Linked DNA regions of Drosophila melanogaster. The protein of the gene in region 1 interacts with the protein of each later gene in a pairwise test. Each region holds a gene or a part of one and is shown in the gene's direction. Other genes may lie near its edges. The genes, in order: CG43367 and CG5866.

Region 1 (4,912 bases):
GCGGAGATCACCGGAGCGGAGACCCAACCCGAAAAAGAACTCATGAGGCAACCGTAAAGCGCGATACACCCCAAGTATTTCTACCCGAAACAATCGACAACAACGCAGCGAATGCGACCGAACCTGAATACCTTCAGAGCTGTTAGCGGCACCTAATGAACTATGATAGATTATATTTACCTTATGAACTAGCTACTCGGATTCACACCTACACTCACACAAACACTCACCCACATTAAGCACGCTAGATAGCCGGAGTAACTCCGGACTGCCACACCCACTCAAAATTGCAATGCACGGGCATTATAGTATGTGCACAGTATCTGATATCTGGAGGATCTTAGGCGATTGGTACAAATACAATAAAAACATAGGCCGCATGGACTCGAGCATGGAGTGCTATTCATATACCTAGAGGAAAAACTATAATACTTATACACGCATATACAAATATTTACTTGAATTATTTTTCTATTCGCAACAATCGTCGTCGTCTCGAGGCAGAAACACAGATAAACTCCACCAACTCCACTACCCCACTACCCATTGCCCAACATCCACAATCCAAAACCCAAATTCCAAATAGAGCAAATAAAAGCAAAAGAAAAACAAGGCGCGCAACTTATTTACAAATCGATAAATCGAGGCGCTGAGGTTTTTTAAATATTGTAATGCCCATTCAAGTGCTGCAAACCGTAATGCGTAAAAACCGAAAAACAGAAATTAAATTTAACAACAAACGAAAGCATCGTGTATTTCATTTAAACGTAATGATAAACGAAAGCAAGTCGAATGCCTATATTTGAAGTAAATTAAATTAAATTAAATTAACATTAACTTAAATTAACGTAAATTAACTAACATTGTTATCCTTCAAATTAATGCGGATAAAAACTCACAGCTTTAACTAACTGAAACGGAGGCATAAGATTTTTCTTCTACATATTTATTTTATTAAGATTATTAACGGATAGTGAATATTTATAGGTCCTACAAATGGTTCAAGCTATTCAATTAAAAACTTACAAATAAAATATTGCATTAAATCTTAATAATTTAGGTCTGAAATTAAATATAAACTAACGTTTCCTTTTTATATTACAAACAAAACCGAAAACCAAACCAAGTCACTTCTAAACGAAATTGCGTATAGAATGCGTATAGAAGCATCCGCATCTGCATCAGCATCCGCATCCGCATCAATAAACTGCACTTTTGCGCATATTGTATCAATGATAGGCGGCAATGAACTACACAGAAATCGTTTGTTTTTAACGACAGTTGGAAATAGTTAACGAGGGTCAAGCAATGGCAACAGAAGCGCAACTATTAGCTAATATCATGTAAAACAGACAAACAAATAACAAAATGCTACTAGAATTGAAACCAAATACATGAAAATCTCGAAATAAATACGCATTTAGCAGCCTAAGTTGTCATGCTGTTTTATTTTGGTGTTATGGATGAATTTTTGCAGCTATACAAAATAAATAACAAAGATCTTCAATTTCATTAATGATATTTGAGATCAAAATTTGGCGCCAACATTTTTGGTTACCCGCGCATTTTACAACACTGCCAAACAATGGTGAATGACAGGAAGAAGAAGCAATCAGCTGTTGCCGTTTTCACCTGTGCCTCTAGCTGTGTGAAAATTTGGCCAAAAAGTTCTTGTAAATGTGCTGAAATCTGAATCACGGCTTGCAACCTCTGTAGAGGCTATCACTCTGACTATATAGACGTTCGCTCCCAAGGAGGAGCTCGGAAAACAACGCCGAAATAGAGCAAAACCTGGGCTGTGGACAAAACAACCTACATCGTCGGCAACATTTTTTTTTGTAAACAAATAATTCGCCTTGGGGAAAAACTCGGCTAGCAATTAACAAATGCCGTTCAGTTGAGAAAATTGCTGGAAAAAACGCGACGATGGACAATAAGAAGGATATATACAATCTGTGGGTGCAGTACACGACAAAGGTAAGGTTCCAATTAGAGAAAATCGAGTGATAAGAAGTCGGATTTTGGGTGGAGGAGTGGCGGGGGGTGCTGCTCCAATTGCGGGGGAGGCCGCAAATGTTTATAGCATTAGTCACTGAAAGGCAAACAGCACTTCAAGTAATGTAAACAGTGTAATGATTATATAATCCCGGAGAGGCTCAAACTAAATCCTTCCCTCTCCCTCGCTCTTTTCGTTTTAAGAATGATGAAACCCACTTCCGGCAATTTGTGGCCCGCTTCGTGGCCATTTGGAGGAGCCAACTGCAGCTAGACTTTCAGGCGGAAAATTGCCCGATGTGGCACGAGGTTCAGCCGGATAGTGGTCCCCACTTGGGCCGCCTCCCGGATGAACTCCTGCCCGCCATCGGTAAATTCATCATTGTAGCCAGAGATGTTTGCGAAACGGAAGGGAAACTGGAGGAGCAGGCCATTGAAGAAGTAGCCATACTCGTGGATTGTCTGGTGATCGTGTGCCGGCACTTTGATAACATACTGTCCATCATCAAGTATGAATACAAGCCGAATTTGATCGCCATACTCTCCAGGGTGTTCAAACAAGTATGCAAATATCTTATACATATTGCTGGGTTTTACCACAATTAACTTATCAATGAATTCCAGCAAATGGAGCTGCCGCAGAGCGTGCCCGCAATAAGCCACCTGTTTAGCAGTTTCTCGGCATTCCTGGAAGTCATGTATGATCCATATCTGACGTGGCGCAGCTTCGTGCGAGGCCAGTCAGCTGACTACAGTCGTCTTTCATATAAACCCCACTCGGTTCATGTGGAAATTGTCCCCTTTATTTATGGTAAGATAAAAAGGATAAAGAGGCAGTGATGGAGTGTAACTAACTACTGATGAGTCTGATCCCAGTTTAAGTTTAAGTGACCCATCACTGCCCCATAACAGTTTGGCCCACTAACATTTCGCTTTGCCTTGCAGATTGCTTTCAGGAGGAGAAGCTCATCCGATATGCGGAAATTGGCGAAAGCCTGCTAAACATCCTGGGCGCTGTGATTTGCGGCTCACAGGTAGCGCCAGAAAGCGTCTCCAGTCCCTTCCTGTGTAGTCCTTTCTCTCTTAAAAACCGTTTAATTATTAACCTCACTTCCTGACAGCTTACCTTTCTGCTCACTGCTTTCGCTATTAATGTACGTTAGAGCTCTATCATTTTGTTTCCTTGTCCTATTTCGTTTCATTTCGTGTATCGTTGTGTGGCTGGATCTCCTCCAGCTGCAGCTGAAAGTGCAGAAGTCTCTAAACTCGACCTCGACCCTGACAAATAGAAATACTAACGCTCTAACCACTTCTTCACTTGCCCCCTGCTCGGGTGATGGGCTGCTAGACTGTGATAACTTGGTGAGTGGTGGAACCATCTGTTGTCCCGATCATTGTTGTCCCCTAACCGTTGCTCATGCATGCCATTGCTTGTCTGTCCCATGTCCTGCGTTGAACCCTTATAATGGTGAATTTGGTCTGATCAGCGCAATGGTATGAAGGCCATTTGCCCCGCCACGGTGTCCATTACCATGAGTATCCTGCGACAATGGGAGAGTGCCAATAATCTGCGCCGCGTAGCCCTGCAATGCTATGCGCTGATGGTCATTGTGCTGCAGAAATCTAGTCCGGAAGAAGTGAGTAGCCAGCCATTTCGTTTCCACAGCAAACTAATCACATCTTCGTTGCACAGCGCCAAATAGACCTAGTTACGTTAGTTCAACTGTATTGTGATGCTCTCCAAGAGCTCCTGGCCACAAAGCACTTCGATAGCGGGGATGCCAATTTCGATATAACCAGCGATGCTGACCAGGATGTGGCTATCGACATGGCTGCACTCTCCTCCACCGTAGCGGCTGTTAAATTCTTTGTCACAGGCGATGCAGGTGTTAGTGAAGCCGTTTCCGATTCCAATCTATTGGAACTGCTTACCAATCTGCCAAAGCTTATAAAAGTATGTTTTCTTATCTCTTACAAATTCAGTACTAATCATTGTTATACTTTATAGCCCTGGCATATTTCCCACTCGAGTTCCCTGTGCAGCACCATGGAAGCTTTGGCTATTTTAGCGCGCCATTCCCCTCAATCCGCGTCCCAGTTGCGACAGGGTGAGCGCATCGAGAGGCTCTTTACCAGCCTGCAGGAATATGGCAGTCCAACAGTCGAACTCCTGGACACTTGTTTCATGCTTGGCTACGATGAAAGTGAGCACTTTTTGCTGCTACCCGAAGTTATGCTTCGATTGCTCAATTGGGTGCCAACGCTCCAAGAGCGCGAACAATTGCATGTGACCAGTCTTGTGCTCAAGGGCTGCACCGACAACTACAGAACGTAAGAAAATTAGCTTCGATTGATATAATCAACGGATACATCAGCCTTTTGAATATTTAACAGAAAAACTGTGGCATGTGGCAGTCATATTATCAAAGCAGTATGTGGTTGCCTCCTGACGGCGGAATCTCTGGCCGAGAACTGTGTTCAGAATCTCATTAAGTTGATAGAGGAATTAAGCAAGCTCAGTATTGTACCCGCGGAGCTCAAGTGCATATTTTCACTGTTGCGGCAGGGCACGAAGTTTCCGCAGTTCAAGCAGCTTCAGCAGGTGAAATTCTATCCCCTTGTGATATCGTATTCTTGTTAATAGTTAAATTTCTTGCAGACTCTTGTTGTAATTGCTTTGCAGAGCCTTAGAGGCAGCAATTCCTGCGCCGAGTTCTTTTCCATTGAGCAACCGACGGATGGTATTCTTGTACCCGATATTCGAAACTGGACTATCTCCGGTTCATATGGCTTCATCTTTCACATTCTGGTCCGATTCAATCAGCTGAAGGAGCAGTCAAACAGTCGCCGAATGCTGCTTACACTACAGACAGCAAGTGGCAGTGGTTTCGAGGTCTTTGTGCAGCCAAACGGAAAC
Region 2 (3,191 bases), on another chromosome or scaffold:
GCCTTTAAACATGAATTTCTCTCTATATATTTGCCTTTTGCTGTGTGTGGCTTTGAGCCAAGTTAGGGGTAACTGTTCAGGCGAATGTCCGGATACGGAGGAAGTTGTTTGGGCTCTTGGAGGAGGTTGCAATGTTTTCCGGAATAAGTGTTATTTCGACAAGGAGAACTGCCATCGAAAGCCAGGTGAGCAGTTTCTTATTACAACTTAATAAGAATTAATCAAACGAATATTATGTTGATTATATAAAAGCCTTGACCATAACGACAAAGAGGGAGTGTCAGAAGCAATGCGCCGACATTTGTACAGCCATCTACCAGCCCACAACTGGAATCTACAAGGGCGAAGTCCTAAACTTTGGTAACGAATGTGAAAAACGGGCTCACACCTGTCGTACTGGCCAGAGTGAGTTAAACTACATGTTTAGATATTACAGTTGACTTATTTCCCTTTATTCAATTTTACAGCTTTTTTGTAAGCCACGCAGAATGTTTTAAGCGTGAACGAAAGTAAATGAACTTTTACACCTAAATCTATTAGTTGTTTTTATCTATTAGGGCTCTTTGGGGCCTCAAGCATGAAACCAAATATCGAAGTCGTGTTTGCGTAACAAACAGCCAACAAGTCACGTAGAAATCAAGCGAGTGCGCTGAATAATATAAAAGTGTTTTAGTCACACCCAGTTTAAAAGATATGGTAAAAAACTATTGTTTAATAATAATAATTTTTAAAATTCGCTTTAACATAATATTATAAATATGTAATCCGTATAAATTTCATTTTGTTTGTGTTATATAAAAATGTACATTTATATAATATATGGCTCAGTATAAATATTATTCATCCTATTAATGGAATAGCACATATTTCGTATCTTATTATATTATATTAAATATTATTTAAACTAATTAAAGATAGAAAAGCGTAACTCCATGCATGTCCAATATAATTCACTAAAATTATCCACTTCTGTTGACCACGTGACGTTTGCTTTGGGGTTTTAGAGTTACAATTACCTAACTTCAATTAACTAATATAATTACAACAGAATAATACAGTAGCTTAATTACTTACATATTATTTGTGAAGTCCGCGAGATAGATTTAGTAGCACTTTGTAAACAAATAAATCTAAATAGATATATATCTTCTTCAGTGATCCCTTTCTTAACAGGAACTTAACATTTTATTTTAATATGAAACGTGAATAAAAAGCTGAAGAAATATGGTCACAATTCCAGTTTATGAGATTATTTATATTTTGGGTCACACATTTTAAAATAAGTTTTAGGTACATAACAGTTAAAACACTTGTATACCTAACATTAGTCGTTTCCAAGTAATCACACCTGTTAAATACACACATTGTAAAATAGTTTACTTTTAATATTCCGTGACTCTAAACTACACGTCCAGTCACACAGTCTTTACTAGAATCAGTTGAGAATTATAGGGCAAAATCAAAATAAAAATATTAAAAGACCATTATATTTAAGACCATTTGTAAAGATGTAAGCATGCGAATGGGTTCAGTCAACTCGGGTTGACCTGAGGGTTTAGAATTCAGAGCTCTAGGTAAAGAAACTCCCGAGTTGAACGTTCCTAGCCTGCATATACCACAAGGTTGTGATTTATGCCCTGCTTGAGAGTATTTATATTATTTAATTAGCTGCCCACTAGTGATGCTATTGCGGTGCTTATCTTTTAATTAATTTCTAATTAAAATGGGTTTCTTATTAAGTTTAAATTATTGGACTCGGTTTCTATTGTGCTCTGGGTATAAAACCGAAAAGGTTCCTGTGAATCAGCATCAGTTGAAGAAAATATGGCTCTGCGTTTCGTTTTCTTGCTGAGTGCTTGGATGGTCCTTGCCCAAGGATCCTTTCTGCGCAGATCGGATATTATTATCTTAGAAGCGAAGGTTCCCCAGAAAGGATATCTGCCTGTCGAAGATGCTTCAGTGCATCAAATCGTTCCTAACGAGTCATTGTCTGCAGGAAAAGAACATCAACATCAACGAGTACATCTGTATCAATTTCAATCGCATCCTCACGAGCACGGACCCCATTATCACCTAGAAGGGCACCATCACCTATCTGAGCCCCACCATCATCATCAGTTGTCTGAATCGCATGATCCTATCCACGGATCCCCTCAGCACCACTATCATGGTTCACATCCTAACCAACAACTCGAGGCACCATTTCAAGAAGTTCATGGATCCCACCATCAGCATCCAATCCACCACAACCATCTGGAGGCACCATATCACGGAACTCATGGTGTTCATCATCATCGCAACTGCCACGCCACCATCCATTGCCCCAGGGTTCATAGTCCAGCTTATGCCACCGATGGTCATCTCTGCTACAGGGTGGAGAACTCCTGCGCACTGGCCGTTTTGAACTGCCTGCGTCGCAATGAACTTAAGCCAGGTTGGTTATAAACATATCTAAAACATTTTCACAAATGATATTATTGTTTAATTGCAGTTTTGAGACACATCGGTCATCACGAATGCCATCGTCTGCCCAGCGCTTACAGGGCCCACTAATTCTAAGCTCAAGATAACTAAATATAAATATAAATATTTATATAAATATAGATATAAATATCTAATATAATATCCTAAGTTGTATTGTTTTCTTTTTCTGAAATATAATATTGTCAAATGAAATAATTTTGTTGTTGTCGGTGTTGTGTGTACTATTTACATAAATCTGGTTGTCCTATGTATGATAATCTTATGCATAAACCTATATTCGGAAGCCTAGATCTTTTAAATCTTTAAAGATAGAAGGTATTTAAAGATATGGTATCATTTACCATATATATAAAACAAAAAAGGCTAGCCTCCCCTCAGGTCCTCCTCATATTAATATCAGGGCCATTTTATGCCAATCGAAACAACTGTAACTTATTAAATAGATAACAAATTAAAATGCATTACAAAACAATCAATATTAAATGCCTTAGTAGATTTTCTCGACTATTAGATACCCATTACTCGTTGCCATTTAAGAATAAACGCCTTAGTCGATTTTCTCGACTATTAGATACCCATCAGTCGTTGAAGTCTGGCTTCAGATATAGATCCTATTCTGCATACATAATGGACGGACGGACGGAAATGTTGGCACGATCAACAAAATATATACTACAAAATGATTGAAAATTTGCTGTTTTAAACTA

What was found.
Region 2: the proteins of CG43367 (region 1) and CG5866 interact in a two-hybrid assay, tested with the Drosophila melanogaster proteins (one large-scale study listed by BioGRID).

The regions. Positions count from the first base shown.
Region 1 is NT_037436.4:4,192,359-4,197,270, forward strand, and holds the start of CG43367 (uncharacterized protein), read left to right. Parts: upstream 1-1,634; 5' UTR 1,635-1,926; coding exon 1,927-1,977; intron 1,978-2,199; coding exon 2,200-2,556; intron 2,557-2,619; coding exon 2,620-2,806; intron 2,807-2,940; coding exon 2,941-3,029; exon of another isoform or gene 3,030-3,147; coding exon of another isoform or gene 3,148-3,231; coding exon 3,232-3,357; intron 3,358-3,482; coding exon 3,483-3,632; intron 3,633-3,688; coding exon 3,689-3,949; intron 3,950-4,003; coding exon 4,004-4,326; intron 4,327-4,389; coding exon 4,390-4,597; intron 4,598-4,654; coding exon 4,655-4,912.
Region 2 is NT_033777.3:17,413,922-17,417,112, forward strand, and holds CG5866 (uncharacterized protein), read left to right. Parts: upstream 1-1,817; 5' UTR 1,818-1,824; coding exon 1,825-2,434; intron 2,435-2,491; coding exon 2,492-2,553; 3' UTR 2,554-2,584; downstream 2,585-3,191. Other genes in the region: CG42822 (uncharacterized protein), read left to right, coding at 11-185, 253-405, 468-478.